Linked DNA regions of Rattus norvegicus. The protein of the gene in region 3 binds, or shares a complex with, the protein of the main gene of each other region. Links are inferred from orthologs where the notes say so. Each region holds a gene or a part of one and is shown on either strand. Other genes may lie near its edges. The genes, in order: Ccnd1, Ccnd3 and Cdk4.

Evidence for each region.
Region 1: the proteins of Cdk4 (region 3) and Ccnd1 are in contact, whole or in part, in a crystal structure (PDB 2W96), measured with the Homo sapiens proteins. The link is inferred for Rattus norvegicus from reciprocal best matches to the Homo sapiens genes CDK4 and CCND1. Residues at the interface, in NP_000066.1 of Homo sapiens: Gly45, Gly48, Leu49, Ile51, Thr53, Val54, Arg55, Val57, Ala58, Leu59, Arg61, Arg62, Ala65, Phe66, Asp76, Val77, Cys78, Ala79, Arg82, Ile87, Val89, Asp129, His132, Ala133, Asn134, Cys135, Ser285, Phe287, Arg288; in NP_444284.1 of Homo sapiens: Leu6, Cys7, Cys8, Glu9, Val10, Thr12, Ile13, Ala30, Lys33, Ala34, Thr37, Phe108, Lys112, Met113, Glu115, Pro118, Leu119, Thr120, Ala121, Leu138, Gln139, Glu141, Leu142, Val145, Asn146, Lys149, Trp150, Asn151, Leu152, Ala153.
Region 2: the proteins of Cdk4 (region 3) and Ccnd3 are in contact, whole or in part, in a crystal structure (PDB 7SJ3), measured with the Homo sapiens proteins. The link is inferred for Rattus norvegicus from reciprocal best matches to the Homo sapiens genes CDK4 and CCND3. Residues at the interface, in NP_000066.1 of Homo sapiens: Gly46, Gly47, Gly48, Leu49, Ile51, Thr53, Val54, Arg55, Val57, Ala58, Leu59, Arg61, Arg62, Glu64, Ala65, Phe66, Val77, Ala79, Val89, Asp129, His132, Ala133, Asn134, Cys135, Arg163, Ile164, Tyr165, Ser166, Tyr167, Gln168; in NP_001751.1 of Homo sapiens: His11, Pro13, Arg14, Ala15, Gly16, Pro17, Asp18, Arg20, Leu21, Arg26, Val27, Ser30, Leu31, Arg33, Leu34, Arg37, Tyr38, Glu74, Lys112, Leu113, Arg114, Glu115, Thr116, Pro118, Ile121, Glu122, Pro134, Arg138, Glu141, Val142.

What each region holds. Positions count from the first base shown.
Region 1 is NC_086019.1:209,524,693-209,529,174, reverse strand, and holds the start of Ccnd1 (G1/S-specific cyclin-D1), read left to right. Parts: upstream 1-1,364; 5' UTR 1,365-1,489; coding exon 1,490-1,687; intron 1,688-3,078; coding exon 3,079-3,294; intron 3,295-3,833; coding exon 3,834-3,993; intron 3,994-4,482. UniProt on the Homo sapiens protein: Regulatory component of the cyclin D1-CDK4 (DC) complex that phosphorylates and inhibits members of the retinoblastoma (RB) protein family including RB1 and regulates the cell-cycle during G(1)/S transition.
Region 2 is NC_086027.1:20,895,001-20,899,489, forward strand, and holds the start of Ccnd3 (G1/S-specific cyclin-D3), read right to left. Parts: upstream 2,876-4,489; 5' UTR 2,712-2,875; coding exon 2,514-2,711; intron 1,627-2,513; coding exon 1,411-1,626; intron 1-1,410. UniProt on the Homo sapiens protein: Regulatory component of the cyclin D3-CDK4 (DC) complex that phosphorylates and inhibits members of the retinoblastoma (RB) protein family including RB1 and regulates the cell-cycle during G(1)/S transition.
Region 3 is NC_086025.1:64,769,996-64,774,629, reverse strand, and holds the start of Cdk4 (cyclin-dependent kinase 4), read right to left. Parts: upstream 3,178-4,634; 5' UTR 3,037-3,177; intron 2,582-3,036; 5' UTR 2,566-2,581; coding exon 2,348-2,565; intron 2,217-2,347; coding exon 2,081-2,216; intron 1,969-2,080; coding exon 1,801-1,968; intron 1,652-1,800; coding exon 1,542-1,651; intron 836-1,541; coding exon 785-835; intron 697-784; coding exon 561-696; intron 103-560; coding exon 10-102; 3' UTR 1-9.

The DNA.
Region 1 (4,482 bases), on a different chromosome or scaffold from region 3:
CAGTTTCTTCGGGGACACGAAAGTATTCCGGGGAGAATATGTGAATAGTTCGCCTAACTTGGGGTCGGATACTGTGAAAACGTTCCCAAAACTAGGGAAATAAGTAATAGACCAAGGTGGTGGAACCTCTTCATTCTAAAAATATTTGACTATAAATTTAAAATAGGCTTAGGGATCCATTCTGGTATCCACGAGTATCTATAGAATGTCTTTAAATATCACCTTATCGGCTCACACATTTATCTTGATTCTCACCAGTCCCCACCCCCAAACTCTGTAAGGCTGCCCCAGCTGCAATTCTAAAGGTGGGGGAACACAAAACACACCCCCAACGAAGCCAATCGGGAAGCTTCCGGTGGTCTGGTTCCTGGAAGGGCAACTAATACTTGCAGCGATTTACTTTTCTTAATTAAAAAATAAATTACACAAAGAGCCTATCGTGTCTCAACCTTTCCTTCAAAGATTTATTTTTCTCCGGCAGTGGAGGAGGGGGATACCAGAGGACCCTGGCCAGGATAAACCGGTCACTGTAAGAAGGCAAATCTCAGACCCCATCCCCACCCCCACCCCACCCCCAGCGAGGAGGAATAGATGAAGGAAATAATGGCCACCATCTTGAGCTGTTGCTGAGATTTTCGGGGTTTTATTTTATTTTATTTTTGAGCGAGTACATGCCAGGCTGGGGACCCTTTAAAGCTCAAAGATACCCCTCTGGCCCTTTGCAACCACCCCAGTGCGCCAGGAGGGAGCCTGCACGAGAACTTAGGGCTCGTCTGGCATCTTCGCCTGTTACACAGTTCCTGAATTTTACACGTGTTGATGAAATTGAAAGAAGTCGAGGACGACGGGATTTCTTAGCAATCGGTCCGCCCGTGGGTGCCCTCGTGGCGTCCTCGGAAACGCGCCCATTCTCTCCGCTTAAGTATAGGGTGTCCTTGCACCCCCCACGATCCCCTTCCATACATTCTTTCTTGGCTTGCGTGTGGCCTGGCCTCCCTCCTAGCTGTCCCCCTGTCCAGAGCCGCCGCTACCCCACCTTCACAGGTCTCGGAGGACCCACTTGGGGAAAGAAGCCCCCCTCCCCATTGCCCTTGCCCCGCTCTTTCCCAGCTTAGAGAGAAGCAGTCCCGGCGATTTGCATATCTACGAAGGCCGAGGGGGGAGGGGGCAGGCTTTGGGTTTGTCCCCCCCCACCCCCGCCGCTCACTGCTCCCGAGCCCCCTCCCCCTGCGCCCGCCTCGGCCCGCCCCCCCTCCTTTTTCTCTGCCCGGCTTTGATCTCTGCTTAACAACAGTAACGTCACTCGGACTACAGGGGAGTTTTGTTGAAGTTGCAAAGTCCTGCAGCCTCCAGAGGGCTGTTGGCGCAGTAGCAGAGAGCTGCAGACTCCGCGCGCTCCGGAGACCGGTCGTAGAGCGCGAGGCAGCGCGCGTCAGCAGCAGACACCGGAGCCCAACCCGGACCACAGCCCTCCCCAGGCGGCCGCGCCATGGAACACCAGCTCCTGTGCTGCGAAGTGGAGACCATCCGCCGCGCGTACCCTGACACCAATCTCCTCAACGACCGGGTGCTGCGAGCCATGCTTAAGACTGAGGAGACCTGCGCGCCCTCCGTTTCTTACTTCAAGTGCGTGCAGAGGGAGATTGTGCCATCCATGCGGAAAATCGTGGCCACCTGGATGCTAGAGGTGAGAAACTACAGGCTGCTAGCTTGGGACCCCCTGGCAACTTGTTGCTATCACCGACATCTTCTTCCCTTCTCTTCCTTTCCGTCACGGATTTTTCCCGGTGTGTTGCTAGGACTCGGGATTCACAAAATAAATAGACACTTTCGGGTCCTTTTGAACGGGAAAGGTTTAGGAGTTGGGGCGATAGGAATTTCTTTTCCTGGTGGGGGGGGGCAGTCGGGGAGGGGTGCCTTCCAGGGAGGACCGTGTCAGAGACACCACAGAGGATGCAGGCTGAGCTTCTTCTGTGGCCCCCGCTTGTGCCCCATTCCTGCAGCGCCTCAGCGGGGGCCGCCCCTGCGCGTAGCGCCAGCTAAGGGGGGAGGGGGCATAGATTTGATTTTTAAATTAATATCCATGGACACGTATGCAAGGGCCGCTCGTGCCAATATTATGCGCCATCTTTGCTCCTTTATTGCAAAGCAAAAGTGTTTATTAATAATTGGGGGCAGGGCGGAGAGTGGCAGAAGGGGCGCTGGGACGGGCACGAGGGGCCTCGTGGCGGCCGGGAGTCACTAAATAGGACACTGTGAGGAATATTTGGGGGTGGGAGACTCTTTGTTCAAACAACGGACCCCTGGGCACCCCGCACACGCTGCCTGGCCCAGAGAAAACGCTAGACTGCAAGGTCGCGTGGCCCCCTAGTCACCGAGATTGACTGTTGTCCGTGCGGGTCTGCATTTGGGGGAACCTGTCTGGGTCAAGCCGGGGGACCAAAGCACATTTTCAGTTGTTCAACAGGAGGCTCAAGGGTTCCAAAATATTTTAAAATAATTTTTAAAGTGAGTTATAATGCCCTTGCAGAGGCAAACAGCGCCCGCACCCAGCAAAAGGGGGGCCCCCGAAGTTTGAGTTGCTGGGACTTATCCCCCAATGTCCACCGAGCTCCTGACCCTCGGCTTGGATCAAGGGTAGCCCTATTGTTATTTTCAGGCCGTTTTTAGGCACCTAGTTATTTTTTAAATATTTTTAAATATTTTTTGAAAAGATGACGTCTGGGAAATGCAGCGCGGCGGCCTGGGACGCCACCTTTGTGTCTCGCGTGCGCTTGAGCGGTGCCCAGCCCCCGGCGCTCCGCCAACCCTACGGTGGGCTTCCCTGCCTTGTGGCTTCCTAATTTCAACGGGGACGGGGGTCTCCGTGGCCACCACTGCCTCGATCCGCCGCGCCAGCTGCCCAAGGACTTTCCCTTTCAGTTTCATGATGGGTGGGTACTGGGAACCCGCAGGGCTAGAGCGCATCCCCCGGAATTGGCCACCGGAATCCCTCTGTGCAATCTATAAAAAGGGTGCGGGGTCACATCGAGCGACACCCCCCTCCCCCGTTGACGGTCAGGGTCCGGGTTCCCGCAGGTCTGCGAGGAGCAGAAGTGCGAAGAGGAGGTCTTCCCGCTGGCCATGAACTACCTGGACCGTTTCTTGTCTCTGGAGCCCCTGAAGAAGAGCCGCCTGCAGCTTCTGGGGGCCACCTGCATGTTCGTGGCCTCTAAGATGAAGGAGACCATTCCCCTGACTGCCGAGAAGTTGTGCATCTACACTGACAACTCTATCCGCCCCGAGGAGTTGCTGGTAACTGCTTAACCCACCACCCGTAATCCTCCATTAGCTGCTCGATCCCTGAGTGGTGGGAGATTTAAGGGGCAGGAGGTCCAGCCATCCATGGACAAATCTCCTGCCCCATGGATGGCACCCACACTGCATGACACCGAAGTGGCAGTGGGCAGAGAATCCCAACCCCATTCTACCTCTGTGCCCGCCCCCTTTCCGGACTCCCCACCGAGTCTGCGGTGGAACAGCTCTGAACTGTAGGCGGTGTGCGCCCCCTAGCGACGCCCGGGCCGCAGCGCTGGCCGTGGGAGGTCTTTTTGTCCATAGCTTGTCTGTCCCTTCAGACTTTCTACAGGCACATTTTGTTGTTTACCTATATGGGGTCCCAGGATGTCCCCACTCTTTTTTTCTTTTTTTTTCCTTTTTTCTTTTTTTTCGGAGCTGGGGACCGAACCCAGGGCTACCTCTGAGCTAAATCCCCAACCCCCGGATGTCCCCACTCTTAAGACCTTCTTGAATCAGCCTGCCTTTCTTTTGACCGAGTTCCTCATTCTCTGCAGCAAATGGAACTGCTTCTGGTGAACAAGCTCAAATGGAACCTGGCCGCCATGACTCCCCACGATTTCATCGAACACTTCCTCTCCAAAATGCCAGAGGCGGATGAGAACAAGCAGATCATCCGCAAACATGCACAGACCTTTGTGGCCCTCTGTGCCACAGGTAGGGCCCCGCCCTGACTCTTCCCGGGCACATCTGACTCCTTGCAGTTCCCAGGCTAATGCCTCATTCCTTGCTATCTGCTCTGAGCCCGGGGTGCAGGCAGCTTGTTGGAGATAGGTGATACTAGGTGGCACCGTCTTGGCTAGTGCCTTGGAGACCTAACAGAATGGCCCGGCCTCCCTGTGCCAACCTTTCCACTGCCAGGAAGTGGTATAACCACTGCATGCTTTCTGAAGAGGTTTTTGCCTCTGCTCCTAAGCTTCCTGCCCTGCCTGTGTTCACACGGAGACAAAGCTATAGAGCCCCCCTCCTAGCTTCTCTCAGGCTGAGCCACCTACTAGGGGTGCCTACAAGGGTGGGGCAAATGGTCCAGACTCAGTCACACGTGCTACATACAGTACATCCCCCAGAGCAGGGTGGCCAGTTCAGGAACGTAGAGAGATTCCCCTCCCCCACCCCAGGGGTGCTGCAGACCAGGTCTTTTTGACT
Region 2 (4,489 bases), on a different chromosome or scaffold from region 3:
TCCCTCACAACTCTGACCGCAGGCCACTCACAGCTCAGGGCCTTGAGCAGGAGAAGGGCTTGCCTATTCTGAAAAACTCCCCTCACACACAGCCATGTAGACCACCCTAATCTCTTCACAAAGAGTAAAGTCTCCTACCTCCCAGCCTCAATCCCTCAAAAAAACATCTTGCTCCCTGGCTCTGGAAACTACTAGATTCATCACAAAGAACTGTGGGGCCTCCCGGATTCCCAACTCAGGCCTCCCATCCGTGAGAGTTGCTTGACAGGAAGAGGAATCCAGTTCCCCGACTCACAGCAGTCAGGGGCCCCAGTACCCTAGCTTCCCAGCCAGCCAATCACAGTAGTCTGCCTGCTGCCCTCCTCCCTAGGAGATGGGGCCCAGAGACTCCTCTCAGGGTCAGAGAAGGCCTGGCCAGCCACAGAACAAGGTGGAGGGAGGTGCCAGCTCACCCACCCTCTCCCCCAGACCCTATGGGAGAGGACGTTCATGCTCTCTTCCAGATTCAAGCAGATCTCCCACCTCCTCCCTAGACTCCTCCGGGGCAGGGCAGAACCCAACCGATTTTTGCCCCGCCTGGAGGAGCCCAGCCCAAGTTCCCAGCAAGAGGCCCCAAGGAGCCACTTCCCAAACCACAGGAGTGACAGCAGCTCCCCACAGGGTTATGAAAGCCCTTGGTCTGAGTGGGAGGGCCAAGGGGACCAGCATCATTATCACATCGGAAGCAGCTGCAGCTCAGCTCCCTGTCTGTCTCAGCTCTGGCCTTTGGCTGAGCAGCAAAGGGAGAAACTCTTCCACTGGCCCAGAGCAGCTGCTCCAGTTTTTCAGAAGGAAGACAAGAAAGGGAGGGTTAGGAAGGGGCTGTGTCTTTGGGGATAGGAGGCAAAGGGATGAAAACACCTCGGTGCTTCCTTCCAGCAATCAGGGCCTGGCTTTAATCAGCTCCGGGAGGCTTTTCCATCACAAAGTCCACACGGGGATAAAGACTCCTGCAAGGCAGCCCCCTCCCCCACGTGAAGCACATTCCACTCCGGTGGGGGTGTGCAGACATACCCTGCTGTTGCCAATAAATAACTCAGGGTGGCTGTGTAAACCCAGAGGCAAAGTACTGGTGTATAGACCCGCAATTGGACTTGTTGCTATCTGGGGGGAAAACGAGTTAGGATTGGAACTCCACTGCAGTCAGAGGAAAGGGGTTCATTTAGTTTTAAGCTTGCAGCTGAAGCATGACTACTACACTACACGGCCTTTGTCCCACCCTAGTTCTTTTCCAAAATATCAGGCAGGAGGGAAGGGAGGGTTGGTGAGTGAGGGGGTGAGCTTGGTGTTTCTTTTACTAGTACATAGGCGATAGTATGTTGTTGTTGTTGTTGTTGTTGTTTTTTGGGGGGGGAGGGATTCTGCACGCACCCGCAACTGCCAGGGAGCCACAGCTTGGTCCGTATAGATGCAGAGCTTCTCAATAGTCAGGGGCGTGGTTTCGCGCAGCTTGGAGGCCAGCAACAGGCAGACGGTACCTAGAAGCTGCAGTTGCGCCTTTCGGGTGGGGACGCAGGACAGGTAGCGATCCAGGTAGTTCATAGCCAGAGGGAAGACATCCTCCTCGCAGCGCTGCTCCTCACACACCTGAGGGAGGGCGCACGAGTCATTGCTAGGGAAGGACCAAGTGAAACACGGCAGCATGGGCGGCAGCGGGGGGGGGGGGCGGAGGGAGAGTGGAATGTGGAGCAAAAAATAAACCAAGAAGGGATAAACTTAGAACGACAAGTATCAATAACCGAGGAGGATGTGCCCTCCCCAAGGTGACCCCCCCACTTCCTCTGCATGATCTCCTCCCTACCCCGGAGTAGGGGGTGTAAAACAGAGAAGCCCATGCTCACGAAAGATTCCAGACTCCCCTCCCCCACGGCGAGCGGAAGGGGGACGTAAGGGTCACCTAGAGAGAATTGGGACCTTACCCTCATTACCGCCACCCACTGCACACACACTCCCAGGGGGAAGGGAGGGAACTCCTGCCGCGGTCTCCCGCACTTTTCATTTCCCTGTGGACCGGAACCGAGCCCGCGCCACCCCCACCCACCAGTTTCCCCCCCGACAGAACCCCGCGACAGACACAGGAACCAGTTCTGGGGCGAAGGCGGCCGAGCCCAAGGTTTTCCAAACGCGCTCTCCAGAGAGCACGGGGTGAGGAAGGAAGCAGGAGACACCGAGAAAAGCCACTGGGGAAAAAGTGGCCCTTAGCCCGCTTTCCCGACCCAAAGTGAAGCTTAGTTACAGTGCCAAGTGGCTGGCAGTCACAGAAGAAGCCGATCAGGGTTGGGGAAAGGAAAGGGACAGAACGCAGGCAGCTGGTTAGGGTGCCTGTGTGAAAAGGCCAGGCCCCTGTAAGTCTGGGCCGTCAAAGCATCTTGCAGATTGTGGTCGGGATCGGGAAGCACGAACAGGGAAAGTTCAATTTGCCCAGAGCCGGGGGTGGGGGTGGGGTGAGGAGAGGGGACCCGTCCGGGCCTTACCTCCAGCATCCAGTACGCCAGCATCTTCCGCATGTGCGGCTTGATCTCCTTTTGCACGCACTGGAAGTAGGAGGCTCGCGGCACGTAGCGCTCCTCCAAGCGGAGCAAACTCTGCAGGACACGCTGGTCCCCCAGTAGCCGCGGGTCGGGCCCGGCCCGGGGCGCGTGCCGGGTGCCCTCGCAACACAGCAGCTCCATCCTGCTATGGCTCACGGGTGAGAGCAGGAGTGCGGGCTAGCGAGTCCTAGGAGAAGCGACGCGTGTGAGTGAGAGCGCGGGGTGCGGGCGGGTCTGGCGCTGGCGCTGGCACTGTGCGGAGAAGCCCCAGCCCGCCCGCCACCCGCGCGCACCGCTTCCCTGACAGGCGCCCCGCCCCTCGCGACGATGTAGCAACCGTGGAATGCTCCGACGTCACAACGTTCTAAGGGGCGGGACCGCAGACGGAAAGGGCTGGCGGGCGCTATACCCTCCCTCCCTCCCCGGAGCCCCATTGGTCCGCTGGGCTCCGGCCCGCAGGCTTCCGGGCCCTCGGGTCCCTTCTGACCAAGAGGGTGGAGAGAACTTTCTGGGAGGGTGCCCTCTTCCCCATCAATGGGCCCTGTCGCGACTCTAGCCACCCAAGAAAGAACTAGTCGCCAAAAGTTATTCGTTCGCGTATGCGTCCTATTTCAATGCTCTAGGGAATGTGGTAATAACTGCGTACGTAGTTGGGTCACTCTTCCCCTCAAGTGGGTTCTAGGAATGGACTTGAGTTGGGCTTTACTTTGCAGATAGAAGCACAGTAGTAGCTGCAAAGATCTCATTGTTAGTCTGTCGGGAAACGTGGCTTAGAACCTAGTCTACTTCAACGAATTCCGCAGATCTGCTGCAGCAGCAGCAGCAGCAGCAGCAGCAGCAGCAGCAGCAGCAGCAGCAGCAGCAGCAGGAGGGAGCTGAGCGGAAATGTAGTTTCCGACCGATTCAGTGTCTCAGGGTAAACCATCCCCGCACTAAGTCTGACAATCTGAGTATGGTCCCTGGGACCCACATGGTGGAAGAAAAGAAAGCGACTCCCATAAGTTGTCCTCTAACTTCCACACGATTGCTGTAGCATGTACACACGCCCCCGCATGCACACACACAATTTAAAAAAAAAAAAAAAGTAAAAGAAGAAATGCAGTTTCTCAGGTCTGCTGAATGGGACACTGCATTGCTCCAGGGGAGGTATGAGCAGTGTTGGTCATATTAAAAGCCATTTGGAGCTGGATGTGGTGGTGCAAATCTGTAATCTCATAACCTGGCTAATGCCATGATCCACTATACAGGCACTTCAAGGCCAGCCTGACTTCATGAAACTGACAGTCTCTGTCTCTCTGTCTCTCTCTGTCTCTGTCTCTCTCTGTCTCTCTCACATACACACACAGAGACAGAGACAGAGAAACTGCTGCAGATGTAGCTGAGGTTGTAGAGCCCAGGGTTCGATCCCCAGCACTGTAGAACCTAGAAATGATCAAAAGATTAAGGTCACTGTTGGCTTCCTAATGAGTTCAGGACCAGCCTGGGCTACATAAGATTCTATCTCAAAAGCAAAAAGCAACCACACCAAATAACAATAGCCTATGCTTCTTATACCAGGACTTCAGAGCTGACAGAACGATGGTAAGTTTCCAGACCAGCCTGGACTATAGAATGAGACCCTGTCTCTGAACAAAACAATAACAATAACAGATCAGCGTATTGCAGATTTGGGCATGATGGCACATGCCTGTAATCAAATGCTTGGGAGAAGGTAGGAGGCCCGTGGAGAATTCCAGTCCGGCCAGATCCATACCAGGGGACTCAAAAGAAAGGAAGGGAGGAAGAGCACCCTTTTAATCCCAGCACTTTGGAGACAGAGGCAAGCAAATTCCTTTAAGTTCAAAGCCAGCCTGGTCTACATGGAGTTCTAGGTTAGCCAGAGCTGCTGTATCACGAGACTATGTCTGAAAAACAAAAAT
Region 3 (4,634 bases):
CCCCTCTCCTCACTCCGGGTCACTTTCCTCCTTGTGCAGGTAAGAGTGCTGCAGGGCTCGGAAGGCAGAGATTCGCTTAAGTGGATTAAAGGTCAGCATTTCCTAAGGGGAGAGGCAAAGGTCAGAGAACAGCTGATGAGCTGATGCCCACCCAACGTGGCTGAATAGCCTCCTTTATCCTCCTCTGGCTGACCATTTGCAGACTGTCCATAGCCAAATCTTAGCTCCAGGGCCCCTAAGGTTCTGTTTTGTCTTTGTGTGCACTTGCTCATGTGTGGAAATGTGGGTACGCACAAGCCGGTGTTTATGTGTGGAGCTCAGCAGTCTGGGCTGCTGGTCGTTGCCCTCCATCTTTTACAAAGTCCAGCACTGCTGTCTTACCAGGGGATCTGTCCATCTCGCCACAAGAATGGCACTACAGAAGCACCTGACTTCTACGTGGATTCTGGGGATTTGAACTCAGGTCCTCAGTACTTATGCAAAGGAGCTCTACCCACTGAGCCAGCTTCCCAGGCCATGCCGTGTCTTGTCTTAACCCAATCCCTGCTCAGGCCCAGTACCAGCAGCAACTGCGCTCCAGATTCCTCCATCTCCGGCACCACTGACTGCACTGGCCGAGGTCCTCTGGGGGAAAAGGCTCCTCGAGGAAGAGAGACCTCTCGAGGCCAGTCGTCTTCTGGAGGCAATCCAATGAGACTGTAGGGACAGGACAACTGTCAGGAGGGGCCCCTTCCCAGCCAGTTGCTATGGAATGTTCCTTTCCTTTTCCTTAGTGGATACTTACTCAAAGATTTTGCCCAGCTGGTCAGCCTCAGAGTTCCCACAGAAGAGAGGCCTAAGGTAGAAAGATAGTCAAAGTACATTCTTTTAAAAACCGGAGTAACCGTTAAGTGGACCAAACTAGAGTGTGGAGCTAAGGAACAGGAAGTTACTAAATCCAGGGCATTTCAGATTTGCCCATGTGGTTTCTTTTCTAGGCAAGGTGATTGGTATGAACTGGGTAGGCTGGGACTATGGCTGGATGGCAGGGGACCATGCCTATGGAAACCCCAGGTTGGGTATCCTGCACTGTACATGCACAAGAATGGTCAAGAACAGATAAGTCTGTAAAAGACCTGGGGCAGAGTGTTTAGTTTAGTGGTACAGAGGCATGGCTGAGGGGTTGGGGATTTAGCTCAGTGGTAGAGCGCTTGCCTAGCAAGCGCAAGGCCCTGGGTTCAGTCCCCAGCTCTGAAAAAAAAAAAAAAAAAAAAAAAGAAAAGAAAAAGAAAAAGAAAAAGAAATAGAGGCATGGCTGAGTGTACGTGAGTCCTGATTCCAACCTCTAGCACCGTGAGAGAGCAGCAAAAGATCTGTGGAACTGAAGGTGGCTTAAGAGTTTCAAGTCCCAGCCAGGCAGTGGTGGTACATGCCTTTAATTCCTGCACTCTGGAGGCAGAGGCAAGAGTTCAAGGCCTGCCTGATCTCGTTTCTGTGTAGCCAGCGCTACACAGAAAAACCCTGTCCCATGGCAAACAAAACAAATGTTTCTAGTCCCATACTTCCGGCGAAACATCTCTGCGAAGATACAGCCAACACTCCACATATCCACAGGCGTTGCATATGTAGACTGCAGAAGAACTTCAGGAGCCCGGTACCAGAGCGTAACAACCTAAAGAGAATAGGAGAAATAAGTGAGTGTTGTCCTCGTAAACAACTGTTTGGCTCTGAAAACTTCAAGTACAAGACTCCTTAGTCGCTTTGGGAAACCACCAAGCCCTACCCCGAATCCCAACCTATTCCGGCTACTGTCTTACTGACCACAGGCGTGAGGGCCATCTGGTAGCTGTAGATTCTGGCTAGGCCAAAGTCGGCCAGCTTAACTGTCCCATTACTTGTCACTAGAATGTTCTCTGGCTTCAGGTCCCGGTGAACAATGCAGTTTGCATGAAGGAAATCTAGGCCGCTTAGAAACTGGCGCATCAGATCCTGGTTTTGAAGAAAGAAGCAGAGAACTGTGGAAACTATGTATCACTGTGTCCAAAATCCCAACAAGTTCTACTGCACATATCAATCCACCTCCACCCACCCCTCCACTCACCTTAATGGTCTCAACAGGCAAGCCCGGCGGAGGTGCTTTGTCCAGGTATGTCCGTAGGTCCTGGTCTATATGCTCAAACACTAAGGTGACCTTGATGTCCCGATCAGTTCGGGAAGTAGCACAGACATCCATCAGCCTGAGAAGAACAAATGGTCAGGAGCTGGCCATCCCCTTTGTTTCAACATGGCCTCTGGCGTTCTAGGGTCCCACTCCTGACTAACGGGTCCTATTGTCCTCTCCGCCCCACTCCCAATCCAACCTTCTCACCGTACAACATTGGGATGTTCAAAGGCCTCCAGCCTTCTTAACAAGGCCACCTCACGAACTGTGCTGACGGGAAGGCCCCCTCCAGCTGCTCCTCCATTAGGAACTCTCACACTCTTGAGAGCCACAAAGTGGCCACTGTGGGGATCTCGGGCTTTGTACACCGTCCCATAGGCACCGACACCAATTTCAGCCACGGGTTCATATCGAGTGGTAGCCATTCTCGGAGCAGGGGATCTACAATCACAGAGGCTTCTAATACCAAGCTCTCTCTCACAGTTAGGAGGAGATGACCCGGCAGTAACAAAGAAACTCCTGCACAAGACCTCACCAACATTATCACCAGCATCCCACCCTCCACACATCCAGGGCCCGCGCTCCTTAGGTAACACAAAGACTTCCAACAAACCCTCTTCCAGCCACGTTTTGTCCTGGAGGAAGAAAAGAATGCTTTCTTTTCTTTCGGAGGACCATTGCGCCCGGCACAAAGAAGATCACAGTGCACAGGGCTTGCATGGAACAGTCTGCGCTTCACTCTCTGAAATCACACCCTCGCCCACGACCACAAAGGCCCCACTTCCCGCCATTGGGCCACCTTCCATACTCAGCCAGCGACGCGCACGCGTGGGGAGCTGGAGGGTGCTAGTGCTCGTGGGGACTGGCCCCCCGCTTCTGGAAAGGGTTGCACTCACCTTACGCTCGGCCAAGAGCTGCGGAGGTGGCCCTTTATCTGGGCCCGGGAGCCGTTTCCTGCGGCGCCATACACCGGGGATCGGTCCCGGGCAGCTGGACGCTTCGGGCCAGACCATAGACACAGGCCGCGAGCTAGAGAGGCCCCCTCACCCCCACCCTCACCATGTGACCAGCTGCCAGAGAGGCGCGCGGAAACCCGGGAGGCGGGGCCGACGGCGGACGTTCTGGACACGTGACCTCCACCCATGCGCACTCGGCGACCGGGGCCCCTTTGATGGGAGGGGTGTGGTGGGGGAAGAGGGCGGGACCTGTACTGCCACGTGACCTGTTGCTATCCCACGTGACCCCTTTACTTTGCGCTGAGAAGCGGAGGTGTGGTTACGCTGTGTGGCACGTGACCGGCTGCCAAACCCTGACTGCGGAGGGGGTGTGTGGGGGCGAGAGAGGGTGGGGCACAAGGCGGTGCCATGGCAACCGGGCCAACCAGCTCTCAACGCTCAGCTCAAGGCCGAGCCTGAGAGCATCTTCAGTCTCACTACGCGTCTCTATGTGGGCGGGAGGTCGAGGTGCTAGTGGGAGATCCTGGTGCCAGAGATGGTGCTGTAACATTTCCACTCCACCGCCATGGGGAAACATTCGTATTTGTGTCTTCATTTTACTCATTCATTCAACAAAATTTTACTAAGTGCTTCCTTCCAGTTGGTATGCGATGTTTTTGTTTTGGTGTCTCAGTCACTCCGCCCTTTGAAGTGATGATAAAGATAGCTAATAAGGCAACCGTGGTCTTATAAAAACAGGGAGTAGACAATTTCTATCCGAGGAGGAAACTAAAAGATGGATAGAAGAAGATTAACATAGTAAGCCGCTGTATGGGGGGCGACAATGTAATGCCCTCCTTCTTCCCAACTTGTAAACCTCCCCAGGAATATTAAAAGCAGCAAGAAGTTATTGGAAATAAGGGTTCTTGATCTTACAAGTGTCTTTACACTAAGATTGCTATATATATATGTGATTGCATGAACAGACAACAGGGTGAGCACATCCAAGGGCAGTCACCACCACATTGCTGGAATATGACTTGTGTCCCTCTGCAAACCTGTGACTCCTCATAGGGGTCACATTCCTTTTTTTCCCCAGTCCTGCTTAGAACGTACCCTTGCCCTGATCAGCGTTTCCTAAATGGTCTGCCTACAGAAATCTAGTCAGATAGAGGTAGATCTGTGTGACGATTTGGTTGGCTCCAACTCCTTTATTGTCTCCCATCAATTAGGAGCATGAGGATAAAAGACCATGTTCCCAACTGTGAAGAATTGCTAAAATCTAGACCTATTTTTGGTGCCGAGGATTGGAGTCAGTGTTTTTATATGTAGTAAGAATTGGTTCAGTCACTGAGCTATATTCCTGAACTTTAAACTCTCAAATCATATTTGAGACACTATAGCTGAGGAGGCTGGTCTCAATAGCAATCTTGGTGCCATAGCCTCTAAATGCTGTTTTTACAGACATGAGCAACTACTTTGGCTGTTTTTACTGTTTTGTTTTAATGAAACAAGGTCTCATATAGCCCAGGTTGGTCTTAAAATGGACATGTACTCAA